Astyanax mexicanus: one gene and its partner. The protein of the gene in region 2 binds, or shares a complex with, the protein of the main gene of each other region. Links are inferred from orthologs where the notes say so. Each region holds a gene or a part of one and is shown on either strand. Other genes may lie near its edges.

What was found. The genes of interacting proteins can lie anywhere in the genome.
Region 1: taf5 (region 2) and taf7 share a complex: the UniProt entries of both Homo sapiens proteins name them as parts of the TFIID basal transcription factor complex. The link is inferred for Astyanax mexicanus from reciprocal best matches to the Homo sapiens genes TAF5 and TAF7.

The regions. Positions count from the first base shown.
Region 1 is NC_064417.1:51,691,057-51,699,059, forward strand, and holds the start of taf7 (transcription initiation factor TFIID subunit 7), read right to left. Parts: upstream 3,477-8,003; 5' UTR 3,331-3,476; intron 2,936-3,330; 5' UTR 2,888-2,935; coding exon 2,869-2,887; intron 2,039-2,868; coding exon 1,965-2,038; intron 1,774-1,964; coding exon 1,695-1,773; intron 1-1,694. UniProt on the Homo sapiens protein: The TFIID basal transcription factor complex plays a major role in the initiation of RNA polymerase II (Pol II)-dependent transcription.
Region 2 is NC_064428.1:23,233,235-23,241,328, reverse strand, and holds the start of taf5 (transcription initiation factor TFIID subunit 5), read left to right. Parts: upstream 1-4,619; 5' UTR 4,620-4,670; coding exon 4,671-5,025; intron 5,026-5,932; coding exon 5,933-6,158; intron 6,159-7,178; coding exon 7,179-7,494; intron 7,495-8,094. Other genes in the region: gsk3bb (glycogen synthase kinase 3 beta, genome duplicate b), read right to left, coding at 772-856. UniProt on the Homo sapiens protein: The TFIID basal transcription factor complex plays a major role in the initiation of RNA polymerase II (Pol II)-dependent transcription.

The DNA.
Region 1 (8,003 bases), on a different chromosome or scaffold from region 2:
AGCACTAAAAGTCAAGTTCTGATTCTTGTGTTCAAATTTAAGCCACAAAATAAGGATTTTTTTTCTTGATTTGAGTTTTACTTCACTCATTTTGGGACTTTGTGATTGCTTATTTTGAAAAATGTAGCTAGGATTCTTTTGCTTAATTTAGGCATTTACGTCTTAATTAACATTTATTTGGTCTATTTTTTGCCAATGGATTTTTGTAGTGCAATCTTTAAAAATAAAATGTGTGTCAGATCCTATATTTGGGCTAAATAACTGAAGTAACTCTGTGGTGATATATATGTTAGCTCAAAATAGATTTTCTCCATCAAAAAATGCAAACACAATTTTTTGTAGACCGCATTTCTATGCCTTTCCAAAATTTTCTGGGTATTTTTATTTTTTCAAAACTTATCAAGGCCTGGAAATTGAATTTTAAAAACTTTAAAATTCCATTAGTTTTCCAGTTTTGTCATGACCATACGAACCCTGAATATGCTATACAATATAGAAGCAATAGAGATTATATTTTCAGTAGTAAATGATAAAATATAAAAATGTTTAGGACATATCATCAGATATTAAGCACACATGCTGAGTTAAAGCACTGGCAGCTCTTGTCAGAAGCACATCAGCCAGTACGATCCTATTAGGAGTGTACAGTGCATCACAGTTGGTATCTGTGTTTGTTTTGCCCTTCGATTTCACCTACTGCTCGTTCCCAGCACTAACTGAGGTGGCAAATACAAAATAGCGAGTGATCTGTGCTGCAGCATGGAAGCTAGCAAGCAGGGCTGGTCTGAAAAAAAGCTCAGTGACCAAAGGAGAAATAAAACAAGTGAATATTGGCAGTGAGTTCGAAAGGTAGAGAAGATTTAGAGCTTAAAAAAAAAAGACTACAAGACCGACGCTGAGCTGCTACTTTTCTTCTGAACAGGTAAGCTAACTGGCTAACTAATTCAGTGAAGTAATTCATCACAATCACAAGGTGAGCTTCCTAGGGAATGGTGTTTAAATGAATAAAATAAAATAATTGAGTGTTCACATTCATATCAGTGGTCTGTGTGCAGCTGGAAAAAACAAGGCAAATGATACCTGAAAGAGCTAGATAGGTTAGCATGGTGCAAGGTAACTATGCTGTCTAACGCAATTATGCTACACACGCTAACGTCAAATGAATTCAATCACAAAGGAAGAGCAGATAAGTCACATCGCCGTTGCTTGCCATGGTAGAAGTTGCTGGACTCGTCTTTCACTGAACTCTTCTCGCACTGGACTGTGTAGATTCAGCCTCCAGCCAACTTGGCAACCCGAGTGAGCAACTCTCGGTGGTGCTTTGAAACTGGACTGCTGTAACTTATTCAGACGCTTGCTGAGTGCTCCTTTACTTTTTTTACTTATTTTGGTAAAGACAGTGTTTTATATCCCAAAAAAGATACAATAAGCTTTACATTTTTTTATACAAAAATACAAATTGGCACATTGCAGCAATACGTGCAAGTAAAGAAGCATGTGCGACTATGGCTGTGTATCTTTTTAACATTTTTGAAACTCATACAATAATATGAATTAGATCTCGAATACCTAAAAAAATCCCCCCCCCTCCAATAAGCTTTTCTTAATTGTAAAAAAAGAAAAGAAAAAGAAAACAAAATATATAACATTTCTCTTCACTTAAACCATTGCTAAATGTTTTTTTGTACACTTACCGTGCAGCTCTATGGTCAGTCTGTCTTTGATATTCATGCTTCCAGACCCGGCAATCTGTCTCACTGTGGAGGCGTACTCCTGGAGATACAAGGATTGAGTCAGGCCATGTTTTACAGGAGATTTTCAGATTATTATACACAAAATTCATACAGCTGAACCATGACTATTATATTATTTTTACATACCTTTTCCCCTTCTGATATTATTATGGCTGTAAAATATTATTCACCATTTAATAAAAACCTACAATCTCAGGAAAAAGCGCTTACCTGAGGAAGTCTCAGAATAAACTGACTCTCCAGCTCGTGAGGAGCATCCTCTTTATTTTTAGTTACTTTTCCAACTGCAAAAAAACAAAAAATAATATGGTGAAAATCTCAATTAGGGGTGTGCCATTTCCCTTACGTCACCCTGTGTATACCTGTACTTCCATGCACTATTTTATACTACTGAAAGCATATGTTTTGTATTTATTTTGCAATTTATTATATTTAAATTAATTATTTGTCTGCAGTTTTTATGCAATAAATAAAAAAACTTTTTCAAAAAGACTGTTAACCTAAAAATACCTTGAAACTCCTTAATAAATTGATAAATATTAGGGGTGTGCCATATCGTACACGATAATATCGTCAAGAATTTTTAAATATAGTGAACGATATAATACCCTAAAATATCGTACCATATCACCCATCCCATTTCCCATTATATATCTACTAGAGACAGATTATATCTGTCCAGTATCTTTAATTTTACTTTAATCCTGGATATATGGAGAAATTTGAAGTGCATTATTATTATTATTATTATTATTATTATTATCATGACATTCTGGATCATTGACTTTTATTACAAATCTGATAATTTTTTTGTATTTTTTAATATCTCACTTAGGGGTGTGCAGTATTACATTGTATGTATGTATATATATATTTTTCTTGCAGTGTATAGTGTATCGCCAAAAGTATCATTATCGGGAAAATACCATGAAATATTGTGATACTATTTTAGGGCCATATCGCCCACCCCTAATAAATATATTTATTTATTTATATTTTTGCAAGGTGGGATGTCTGACATGGTGTGTGTTTGCTGGGTATAACATCTTCAGCAATTAATGTACGTAGCTAAATTTGCAGCAAAGACCTAGAAAAAATGCAAACCATTGCCTACCTTTTGTTTTAGAAGTCATTTTGACAGTGTTATAATGCTGTATGTGACCTCAGGTGATGTTTAGATCCTAAAAAATAAAAATAGAAACATTAAAAACAACGAAAACAATGAAAATGTAGTTCTGTTAGTTCATGTTCTGTAGATTAGATAGCCTAAATATACCACAGGAACTTTTAGCCTAGCAAAAACATAGGAGGTCAGAAACAGACAGCTAGCACTTACAAACAAACAAAGACACACACACAAATACAGTAAAACACGCAGTATAAATGTGAGATATGAACAGATAATATAATAATAATAAAAATAAGGTAAATGAGAGTGAGTGCTAGGCAGCGTCAGGCAGTTAGTTAGCTCTCAGGCTAACAACATTAGCGTTACCACAAACGAAAAATATCCAGAATAAGAGGATAATAACTGGATAATGTACAAAAACCCGTAGGAAAATACAGTAAATCTCACCTACACCAAACCCCCACAGAGTTAGAGCTGATTAAAAAGCAGGAAATAGAAGTTTAAACCATATTAATCACATATTCAGCGAAGCTAATGCTAACGCTGCTGCTCCTTCCTCGCGGGGTCTTCTTCTATGGCTGTTCGCGCCTAAACTACAGGGACCAATACCGCCACCTACTGATCTGGAATCAGGCGTTTTTAATAATGATAATAAAGGACAAATAATAATAATAATAATAATAATAATAATAATAATAATAATAATAATAATAATAATAATAATAATAATAATAATAAGACGAAGAAGAAGAAGAAGAAGAAGAAGAAGAATAAACGTTCAGAAAAATACCTACAGATGAATTTGAAGCAGACGTTGTCTGTATTTTACTGTATAAAGCTCTGTAGACTGCACTGTCCTTTCAATATGTTTCTTTATCACTGCTATCAGTGCTGTAAAAAAGTATTTAGTTTTTAAATTACAATTTAATTTATTATGGAAAATTAATTAATGTAAGTTACCCCCCATGAATTAACATTAACATGTATAAACATGAATTAACTACATTTTTTGGAAAGCTGATGTCAATTTTACTACTAACCACAACCAGGCCTGATTACTGCCAGACCTGTAGAATCAATAAATCACTTAAATAGAACCTGCAGTGGGGATTAAATACTGATTATGAGGAATTAAGAGAAAACTGTAATAAATACAGTTTGTTTAAGTCTCAATCCTAATTTTATTGTGTCTAAATTTGTCCCAGTAAATTCATGTGTTACTGATTTTGTACCAGTGTTATACTGCCACCTAGTGTTACAGATGTAAATATACACAGTGGTGTTTGAAAGTGTTTAAAATCTTTAGAATATTCCATATTTCTGATTAATTTGGCTTAAAAGTTAATCAGTCCTAAAAATATTTGATCTGCTCATTTATTTATTGAAAGAAATTAACTTTCTAATTAATTTAACATATCTGACAGTGGCAAAATACAGAATTGTTTCCCTACATTAAAAAAATGAAAAATGAAATTATCCAGACTATAAAGTAACTCATAAGGAATCATGTAGTACCTTAACAACGTTACTCTGTAAAGCATTTAGATGCTCTTATCTGGGGAGCTGTTAACATGCAGTTTCTGAGGCTGGTAACTCTGATGAACTTATCCTGTGCTCTTCCTTTCCTGGAGCGGTCCTGATGAGTGCCAGTTCCATCATCATCAGAGTTGCCAGGTTGGTGGTTTTACCGCCAAATTAGGCTTGCTTGTCAAAAATGAAGGGAGGACAGCGGGAAAGAGAGAGAGAGAGAGAGAGAGAGAGAAATCACAATGTAACCAGAAATCACAAGGCGAAAAAAATAACAGAAATGAGTAAGTAAAAGTCTGTTCTATTTTTTTTCCTAATTATCTTACTAGTAAAAATGTTTTTGACATGGATATAAACCTGTTATAAAAGAACTAATAAAACACTAATGTTACACTATTATCTATTAATGACTTTAAACAAAATATTAAGTCGTACACTCATAGTTGTTTTGACATTTGCTAAACGTGTGACAGACATATATTTTGGGCTAATTTAAGCTTCTGAAGGGCAGGTTATAGACAGACTTTAGACTGGGTACTTTTGTGTGACCTGGCAACCCTGATTATCATAACGTGTTTGATGGTATTTGCGGTGACTGCACTTCAGAATACGTTCAAAGTTCTTTAAATTCTTTTATTTGGATTGAATAACCTTTATTTTGTCTTAACGTATTTTTTCCTTTATTTATTTAAGTAGTTCTTGCTTCTCATATTCTGGATTAACGTTATTAAGGGACAAGGAACTCTTTTTAATGGTAACGTTACTGTGTGCTGCTGTAACATTACAAAATTTGTCGCTGTGGCATTAATAATTAATAATAATAATAATAATAATAATAATAATAATAATAATAATAATAATAATAATAATAATACATTTGTAATTATATTTATATATATTAAACAACTATTTAAAAAGCTTAGCTAGCTAAGTGTTAAAGTTATTTAGCTAAGTTATTTAAGTTAAATGCTAAAGCTAGTTAGCTAAATAGCTAATAATAATGGTAAGATATCGCTGCTGTTCTCTGTTCTAGTTTATTATTATTAATTATAGTATTTTCTATAATTAACTACTTTTAACTAAACGCACACATTTACCTACCCGCATATATAACCCGTGTATATCTGTAGCCACAGTATCACTGCAGTGTATAATGTATGAAAGGCGGAGCGGCGCGCTGCAGTATCAGCTCCCATATGGTCTAGCGGTTAGGATTCCTGGTTTTCACCCAGGCGGCCCGGGTTCGACTCCCGGTATGGGAACGAATTTTTTTTTATTATTTTTCTTAAAAATATAAAACATCAAATACTGACATGTGGAAATGTTAAAATGAGGATTTGTTACTCAAAAAAGATATATTCAAATATACAATATGACATAAAATGATATATGTAATGATCATAGTCCATTGCTTCATGTATTTTTCATATTTAAAGACAATACTGGGCCAGAACACATCAGATAAAAAAGTACTTCTAATGTCCTAATTTAAAATTTGAAAAATATATTTAATTAATTAAAAAATATATAAAACATATAATGAATTCATGAATGAATTACTATTTCATGGAATAACAGTTTTCATGCATCTTGGCATCATGTTCTCCTCCACCAGTCTTACACGCTGCTTTTGGATAACTTTATGCTGCTTTACTCCTGGTGTAAAAATTCAAGCAGTTCAGTTTGGTGGTTTGATGGCTTGTAAACATCCATCTTCCTCTTAATTATATTCCAGAGGTTTTCGATTTGGTAAAATCAAAGAAAATCATAATTTGTAAGGTCTTTAAGGAAAATTAAAGTTAAATGTCTACCTAGTTTGGATGATGTATGTAGTTTAGACAGTGTTTAGTGGGATACTGAGTCTCAGGCACGCTGCTGACCAATCAGATTGGAGGGAAAATGTGACTCTGCTAGGAATTCCCCACGCGCCTCCTCTCACTTCCAGCGAAAACACTGGGACCTTACGGAGGGCACGAGACACCAGCACAGCCCGGAGACTGGTCTGACTGGGCTGCTGATCCGGACGGGGAGAGTCTGACCCGCTGAGAGACCAGTTCTCCCAGTTCCCCCCGCGCTGAGGAGGATTAAACACACACTGGATTACTGATAAACACTTTATTCATCTGAACAGCGCAGAGTCATCAGCAGCGCGCGCCCTGCGCTCAACACGCAACTCCTTACGAGAACTGCCGTGACGTCATGAGTACGGTAAGCCGCTCCGTAGGTTCTTAGTTACGATGTTCACGCGCAGGAATTCAGAAAAATGCTGTATATAGTTAACTAGCGACTTTACAGCCCTGATTTAACGCAGTTAAAGCGTAACTAGTATAGTTATTTTATGTTTTTTAGAGCTAATGGACATTTTTCCCAATAATATAAAAAAATATATAAATAATATAATATATATATATATATTTACAGTACCAGTCAAAAGTTTGGGCACACCTCTTCTTACGCAATGTTTCTTATTTATTTATTTATGTAAAAGTAATATTTGAAATAAAATGTTAAAATATTAAAAAAACTAAAAAAACAAAATAAGAATAAACCAATACTCTGTGAAGTTAACTTAAGAGGAATATCTTGCTCTTTCTTTCCTGGAGCAGTCCTGATGAGTGCCAGTTCCATCATTACAACGTTTTTGATTGTCTTTGAAGTCGGTGACTGCACTTGACAAGATATATTTGAATTCCTTGAAATTCTTCTTTTTGGATTTTTTCTTAAAGTACTTTTTTTCTTTACTTAGTTAAAAAGTTCAAACCAAAATACTCATTGAAAGTTTACTTTTATCTTGTGCAACCGAGGAAACTCTCACTCTTCCTGTCCCGGGGCAGTTCTGATGAGTGCCAGTTCCATCATTATCATAAAATTTTTGACCTTTATTTTTACTTAAAGTACATTTTTCTTTACTTAGCTAAAACGTTCTTGCCAAGTTCTTTGCTTAGTTAAAAAGTTCAAACCAAAATACTCGTTGAAGTTAACTTTTATCCTGTACAACAAAGGGAACTTATGCTCTTCCTTTCCTGGGGCGGTCCTGATGAGTGCCAGTTCCATCATCTAAATGTTTTTAAGGGTCTTTGCAGTGGGTGACTACACTTGAGGATACTTTGAAAGTTCTTAAAATTTACTTTTGGATTGACTGACCTTCATTTCTTATAGCAGTTTATTCTTTATTTAGTTGAGGAGCTCTTGCTTCTCATAATATGGATTAGAATGTAACTCAAATAGGCATATTCAAACAGATTTAAACAAGGCACAGCTGTTAACTGAAAGTCATTTTTAAGTGACTCTACCTCATAAAGCTGAAATTGCAAAAATAATTCCATATGTTTTAGTTCATAGTTTGGATGACTTTAGGATTTATCTACAATGCAGAACATTTTAAATTAATGAATGTCCAAACTTTTGACTCGTACTGTAAACAGGAAACAGTAAAAAACATGTGTACATGTGTTTTTAGGCCCAAAAAGTCCCAAAAAAACAGGCCTACATTGTGTTTACAAAGTAGACTAGCTGTGAATAGTGAATACACAATCCAGACACATTTATAACGTTATAAGTTTTGGTTTCTCTTTTATATTGATTTATTTTTG
Region 2 (8,094 bases):
GCAAGAGTTGCACCCACAGGATACAACAATAAAGACAATGGTACATACTGATTCATCAACGAATCAAAAAATTGATTTTACAAACTATTCTAAATTTCGATTTCTAAAATACTCATTGGTGGTTGCCCTAGTGTGTAGAATTGTGCCGGTAAGATAAAACATATATGGAGCAGGAGGCACATGCACAAGAAGCAGAGATGGAGGGTGTGGCAGAAACAATAGTTAATTAGCCCACAAAATAATGAATAGATTACTCGAATACCAAAATAGTCATGAGTGGGGAGACCTGACAGGTGAAGAAAATTATGCATTGGGACAGGAGCCACATGCTCAATAGGCAATGATGAAGGGTGTGGCAGAAACAATAGTTGACTAATTAATAAAATAATCGACAGATTATTCGACTACCAAAATAGTCATGAGTGGGGAGACTTGACAGGTGAGGTAAAACATGCACTGGAACAGGAGCCACATGCTCAGGAAGCAGGGGTGAAGGGTGTGGCAGAAACAATAGCTGATTAATCAACAAAATAATCGACAGGCCGATTATTCAGCTACTTAAATCTAAAGATCATCAGTTGCAGTCCTGGATGAAATGGAGCCAACACAGTGACTTGACAGATCACCTGACAGAGCTAACTACTCCTCATCCTTATCCTCTATAATTTACTTCCAAATCTTGTTAATTTATCGCTATATAAATAAAAGATTTGTCCCTAAAACATTAGGATTTCTGGACTGTTGGCCTGAAGTGTTCATAAAGATACTCACGGCTCACTTTGACGTTGCCAAACGCTAAAGGCTGCGACACGGGTTTGCTCTCCGCAAAGGAGGTGGTTCTTGGCCGACCTGACATTTCTCAGCCTTTTCCTCTGGGTTTCTCCAGCGACAACGGCTCCAAAATCTGTTTCCCTTTCTTCTGAAAGATTCTCCTGTTTTACTTCGTGGTTTAAAGTGGGTTTTTTATCAGAGAGAGGAGAAAAGCCAACTCCACCACGCTGTGCTGTTAGTTAGAATAGCTGGCGTTAGCTTAGGCTAGCTAACGCTAAATTTCCTGGACACAGTGTTTGAGGGACAAAGCCATGAAATGTGTGCCCTCAAAAACAGCTGCAGTCACTTTTTTTAGATGGTTAAAACGAAGACATTTAATTGACACAAATGGCACGGATATGGAGCTGTTAAAAATAATACATTTTCTCAAAAATATCTGAGAGAGTCCAATCCCGTCCTGCCCGTTTACCTCAGGTTAGCTAGCTTGCTAACTACGTTAGTGAGGCGAATTACAGATAGCTTAGCTCGCTAGTTCTCCAGCTAACTTAGCTGTTGCTAGGCTCGTAAAATTATATTCAGCATGGAAACGGACAAAATTCAGGACGTGTCCTCTCGTTAGCTAGTCAGCTAGCTTAGTTTGGTTTTAAAGAAAGCTCCAGTCTTCCACTCTCCGCCCGCAGAAGTAGCTGCTCTTCTCCAAATGAAGCTCGCTAGCTGCTTTCGCTGAAACTGAGGGGCTCCACACTCCGACCGCTGGCCATGGCGCCCGCCTCACTCAGCTCCCCACAGATAAAACAGCGGGAATAAAGAGGCACGGGGTAATAAAACTGCTCGTAAAAGCTCCCCAGCCTCGGTCAGCCAATAAACAGAGTAATGTGATTAATAATATCTAGCTAAATTCCCTCCGCAGACCAAAGTTGCTCCTTCAGGAGTCTTCGGTTCGCTCAGGCCAGTCGCTGCTGTTCAGCTTTACTGCACCTTAGCTGCGAACCGAATCACAAAACACTCGGTTCTTTCTTTGAATCGGACCATTAAAGTAAATCAGTTTAATAGTGATTTAAACTATATTAATAAGAAGGCGTTGTACAAATTATTGTAGAAAACATTGATGGCATATGACAACATACCTTTTCGCCTAAAACAGTTATAATACAATATAATATATTATGTAATGTATCAGTTATGTGAACTCTCATATTAGGTATGGAATGTTTAATAGTTATAATCAGTATGAGGTATTACCATTCATTGCTCAGGTAGAAGTATAGATACTAGGGTTCAAAATATTTTTGTAGAAGTTAAAGTATCAACTCAAGCCTTTTACTCAAGTAAAATAAGTGTTAAAGTACTTGTTTTAAAATGTAAGGAGTAGACAGTACAGAAAGCTGTGTAAAAAAGTTAGGTGTAGACAGTACAGATAACTGTAAGAATGTAAGGAGTTGAAGTAAAAAGTAAGCTGAAAAAGAATTCATTGAGTACAGATAACAAAAACTTTAACTTAAGTAAGGTAACAAAGTATTTGTACTTTGTTACTTGGCTTCTCTGCTGATAGTATTAGACCCATTAGTCCCATAGTCATATGTTACCATTGATTTACACTCTCCAATACCAGAATCAGAATTGGACTCCAGCAAAACACAGTAAGAGTTTTTGTGCTGTTATTCACAAATGGACATAACATGGCTCAATGGTGAACCATCACAAAATAACTGCAGGTCTTGCCTCAGTTAAGATAAGTGTTCATGATTCAATAATAAGTCTGAGACTTGGCGAAAATGGTTTCCAAAGCAAAAATTACTGCTGAAAAAAAAGAACACAGGCCTATTTCATTTGCCAACACACATCTTGATGATTCCCAGGACAGGACTATATATATATATATATATATATATATATATATATATATATATATATATATATATATATATATATATATATATATATAGTTAATATATTAGTTAGTATATTTAAAGTTGACCTTAACATGGGGGTCTGACAGTGATTAAAACGCTACGAAAGATTCAGAATCGGTTCGTGGAACTAAAGCGAACTGAATCGTCACTGAGGACTCGACTGCAGTGCTTCATTTTTAGTTACGGAAAATGCGTAGCGGTGTTTGTGTAAGCGGGCGCGCTCAGCTTTAATGAGTCGCAACTCTGCGTAAACGAACACTTACGGGAATCGGGCGTTGTACACGCGGATTGTGACGTATGGTTGCGAGAACCAATGAGAAGGCAGATCGCGGGGAATGGGTGGAGCCAGTCCGGGAGTCACCCAGAGCCATAGAGATGGCTATATGATCCATATGGCTCTGGAGTCACCGAGGGCAGAAGACTGTAGGGCAAGAAGCAGAAGCGCGACCTCTAGTGTCGAGGCGGAGTAAACGAATAATCACTGTTTTATCTATCAATTATTAAATATTAAAAACATAATAAATAATTTGTTTCAAACATGACTACTTTACAATAAAATGTACATATCCATCAAAATAATACCCTATCTATTCCATCTAAATTAAAATCATTTTCTTGATGACAATGCTCGAACAAATGGATGAGATTCACTCTAGCAAACGAGTTATATCCTACACAATTTTATATACATAATATGTTTTTTTTTGTTTAATCAGCAAGAAACATCCAAACTGAGAACGTTAAATACCAAAAACAAACGAAATACACAACGAAATAATGAATAATATCTACTCTTCCAGCTTTGGCATGTCCGGCTTCAAAATGAATGAATGTATGTTCTGAAAATGTGATGCTGAAAAATCAAAAGACCTGTTTGTTTTATGCTCCCACACTCAGCTGTTTTGGAAACAGTTAATGGATTTATTAAACAAAACAATATATATATATATATATTTTTTTTTTTTATGGAATATTAAATAATCCAAAGATTGATCAATGTTTTGTTTATTTTGACCAAGTTTTGTTCATTCAGAAATCTAAATTTATTAAGAAAAAAAAATATATATAAAAAAATAAAAGAGATAAAATAGCGGAAAAATCCAACCAATGAAATCGCGCGCATTTGGCGTGTCCCTTTTCTCTCACGCTACGTCATCGCGTAAGAACTCGTTTCCGCTCGAACTGGTTCTGCTCGATTCAGTTCATTGAACAGAGGCAACCGGCTTGATTCAGTGAATCGAACGTTGACGTGAACGATTCATTAGGTCTTCGTTTAATGGGTTTGTATTTTAAATAGTAATTAGAATTAAACTAGGTTTGCATTTTGCTTCACCTAATTGAGTCTGATCCAAATATTTATTAACGTTTTTAGAGTGTGAAATAAATAACTGTGTAGGACAGGATTGTATAATTAATTTTATTTTCTTCACTCTCAAAGAATAGTCAGTAGGAAAGTGTATAAATACTAAAGCTTTAAAACATATATTTTTTTTAAATGTCGGTGCCTACAGAAGTTGCTTTTTCATGCACAAAAATACTTTATATATTCGCAGATGGATTTTGACGTGTTGGTTTAGGATATTAGCATTGGTATCCAGAGATGTGGAACTACTAAAATACTGTATCTGAGTATTCTTATTTTTTTTTCTCCTGCTACCACTTTTACTTCACTGCATATTCATATTAATTTTTAACTTTCCTAATAATTTGATTTAACATAATATTTTCATAATATTCATGATAATTCACACTTGTACTTTTCTTATTTTAAAGCCTACACTTCTTCTTAGCTGTCAGAATGCCCTTGAAATGCTAAAATACTAATCTCTATTGAAGCTAGCTACAGTAGCACAACAGTCACGTCCTGAATTGAAGTTGAGTTGAATCTGCTCGACTGATTCATTCAAAAGAACCGGTTCAAAAGAAACTCGACTCGCTGACGAGTCGTTCCGTCTGTAGCTAGTAGTTTCCGCGCCTGGGGAGAAAATGGCGGCCGTGCAGGACGGAGGGAGCGAGCTGGAGGGCGAGAAAGAGCCGAAGCCCGAGCTCATGAACGATGGCTCCACGGCTCCGGCTGCAGCGCCGAGCTCCCGGCCGGAGGATCAGCAGACGCTGCTGGCCGTGCTGCAGTTCCTCAAGCGGAACAAGCTGATCGAGTCGGTGGACGCGCTGCGGCGGGAGGCGGGACTGGCGGACGAGCCGGAGGAAGCTCCGGGGAGCGAGGCTGCAGGAGGCGCCGGCGGAGCCGCGGCGGGGAGCGGGGAGCTCGGGGATGCGGGCGCGCTGCTCAGCCGGGTGTCTGGAGGCTCACAGAGCGCGGCGGCTCCGGCTCCGGCTAAAGGTGGGTCTGATAGAGAGGAGCTGAACAAAGAGAAGAGCTTCAGACTAAGAAACAGAGCTGCTCTCAAAACGTCAAAACACACATGCATGCAGCTACTACTACTATCACTACTGCTACTACTACTACAACTAGTAGTAGTAGTAGTGTGTGTTTGTGTGTGTTTTTGTTTGTGTGTGTGTGTTTGTTTTTTTGTGTGTGTGTGTGTGTGTGTGTGTGTGTGTGTGTGTGTGTGTGTGTGTGTGTGTCTAAACACAAATAAATAGTTGATTGAGAAACCTTTTATGGTTTCTTCAATTTCAAACAGAAAGCACCACTCGAGGGGCTTTGAGGAACCTTCAAAACAATGTTTTAGTCCATAAATGTTCCTTTATGCAACTTATGTTTTCTTAAAGGCTCCTTAAAGCACCTTTAGGGGTTCCTCCAACATTTCAATTACTAAAACCTTTCTTTAAAATTCCTCAAGCTGCTAATTAGTTCTGTTTGTACCGGTAACACTTATAACACAGGATAGTAAAGTTTATGAGGGCTAGTTGAAGTAGATGCTCATCATGTGTTATGACAATCTTATAACAAGATCCTTAATCTTAACTAAAAGACATTCTGCGTCATTTAAATCTTATTTTTATGTCAGTCTTATAACAAGATATGCTATTACAATACAATTTCATTTTCCAGCAGGACTGCCAAAAGTACCAATTGGTCTTATATAATATTCCAATTTTCTGAGACTCTGATTTTCATTGGCTTTAAGCCATAATCATCAGCAATAAAATAAATATACCCTTAAAATAGATCACTCTGTGTGTAATATATTTAAATATAATATATATGTTATGTACATTTTTAACTGAAATACTGAAATAAAGTAACTTTTTAATGATATTCTGATTTCATGTGTTGTCTGCAGGAGGAGATGACCAGCCGGACGTCAGCGTGGTTCTGTCAGCGTACAGTCAGCAGGGTGACCCATCCTTGTATCAGGTCTATTACAGCGGTTTGAAGAAGTTCATTGAATCTGTGCTGGACTGTCACAGGGCCGAGCTGTCGCAGCTCTTTTATCCACTCTTCGTGCACATGTACCTGGAGCTGGTCTACAACAACCATGAAAGTGAAGCCAAGTCTTTTTTTGAGAAGTAAGTGACTACTGTTGGGCAGGGCAATATATCAATCGTATATTTCATTATATTTAAACCCATTTTATACAAGATATAAAAATGCTTATATCATAATAATACCATCAGAAATTGCATTTATTTCCAAAAAAGATTCTACATGGGTGGTGTGTGTGGAAATGCTTTGGTGCAGACTTTAGTCTTGTGCATTATGTTGGAAAAGTGTCACAGTTAAAGGAGCAGCATGAAGACTTTCTCACACAGCATAGTCCAGTCAGTGAAATACTTATTTATATACTTAATAAAATTAGTTGTTTACTATTTAGACATACTGTATCGTAACATATTCTATTATCACCATTTATCTGAAACATATCGATATGAGGTTAATTAAGTAGGTAATTAAGTAGTTTTGGTCTCAGTCATGGCCCTGAAACGCCTTTGCCGTGCACATTTTATTGTTTTCTCTGATCTAACATCTCACACAATTCATTAGCACATAAGAAATCCCACTGAGATCTAGAGAGTTGGATGTTCTAATAGTTCTGCAGTGTGTTGACTGATATGGTCAGTTCTTCAGGCACTGCCTAGTAGGGGTGGGTGATATGGCCCTAAAATAATATCACAATATTTCATGGTAATTTTGCCATAATGATACTCTTGGCGATATGACAAAACACTGAATTAAAGAAAATATTTTAAGAATACACTACTGCAACAAAATTAAAATGAGGTTTTATTATTGCATATAATATGACATGACACACCCCTAACTATAATAAATATTAAAAAATACTAGAATTCTATCAGATTTGTAACAGAGGTCAGTGATCCAGAATGTCATGATACTAATAATGCTCTACATTTATACAGGATGAAAATAAAATCAGTTATACTGTACACATATATTCTCTCTCTACTGGACATATAATGGGAAATAAGTACAGTGTGAATTTTTCAGTGTTTGATCAGAGTATTTCTTGTAATTGTTGCCCAGAAACTCTCCTCCAGCTCCTGCCTAACGTTCCTTTTCATGTTCAGGTTTAATGGGGACCAGGAGTGTTACTATCAGGACGACTTGCGGGTGCTCTCAGGCCTCACCAAGAAGGAGCACATGAAGGGCAACGAGACGTTGCTAGACTTCCGCACGAGCCGCTTCGTTTTGCGGATCTCCCGCGACTCCTACCAGCTGCTGAAGAGGCACCTGCAGGAGCGACAGAACAACCAGATCTGGAACATCATTCAGGAGCATCTCTACATCGACATCTTCGATGGCATGCCTCGCAGCAAGAGCCAGATAGACAGCATGTCCGGCAGTTTGGCGGGAGAGGCCAAACGGGAGGACAATAAGACCAAGGTGAGTGTGGGGGATATTCTATCAGACTTAGCACTGATCGTTAAACAGTTTTAAATTAGTGAGTCGGTTTTCGTGCACTCCAATCATAATCATATTTAATAAGCAGAGTGCTGGGTTTCAGAGATCAGATTTCTTGGAACATGTATAAAATTTTTCTGATTTCTTTTGATTTTCATAGTCTGTGCACACACATTTTCATGCAAAAAGTCATGGGATAGCGTAAATTGTGGCCTGCAAGCATAAAACATCTTGCCCGTGAGGGTGTTTGAACTATAATGAACGGTAATGAAGAAATAAAATGCTTCTCTGGTGAGCTTTTGTATACATTCCTCCCCTGTCCCCTGTGTCGCGCTCGGCATAACTTTAGTTTACACCCATTCTCGTTTTTCTGCCTATTCTTGGGCTCTTTATCTCCTTATAAGACACTGCTTTGGGTTCGATGGGTGCGTTAGGAGCGGTGTGTTTATTTTATTTTATTTTTCCTTTCTTGTTGGGTTTACCTGCTTTGAGATCAACTGTTCTGCAGTTGGGTTCAACAACCCTCTGGGCTGGAGAGCTACTAGTCTGTAGCACTCCATCCCATTACACTTCATTTTCCAA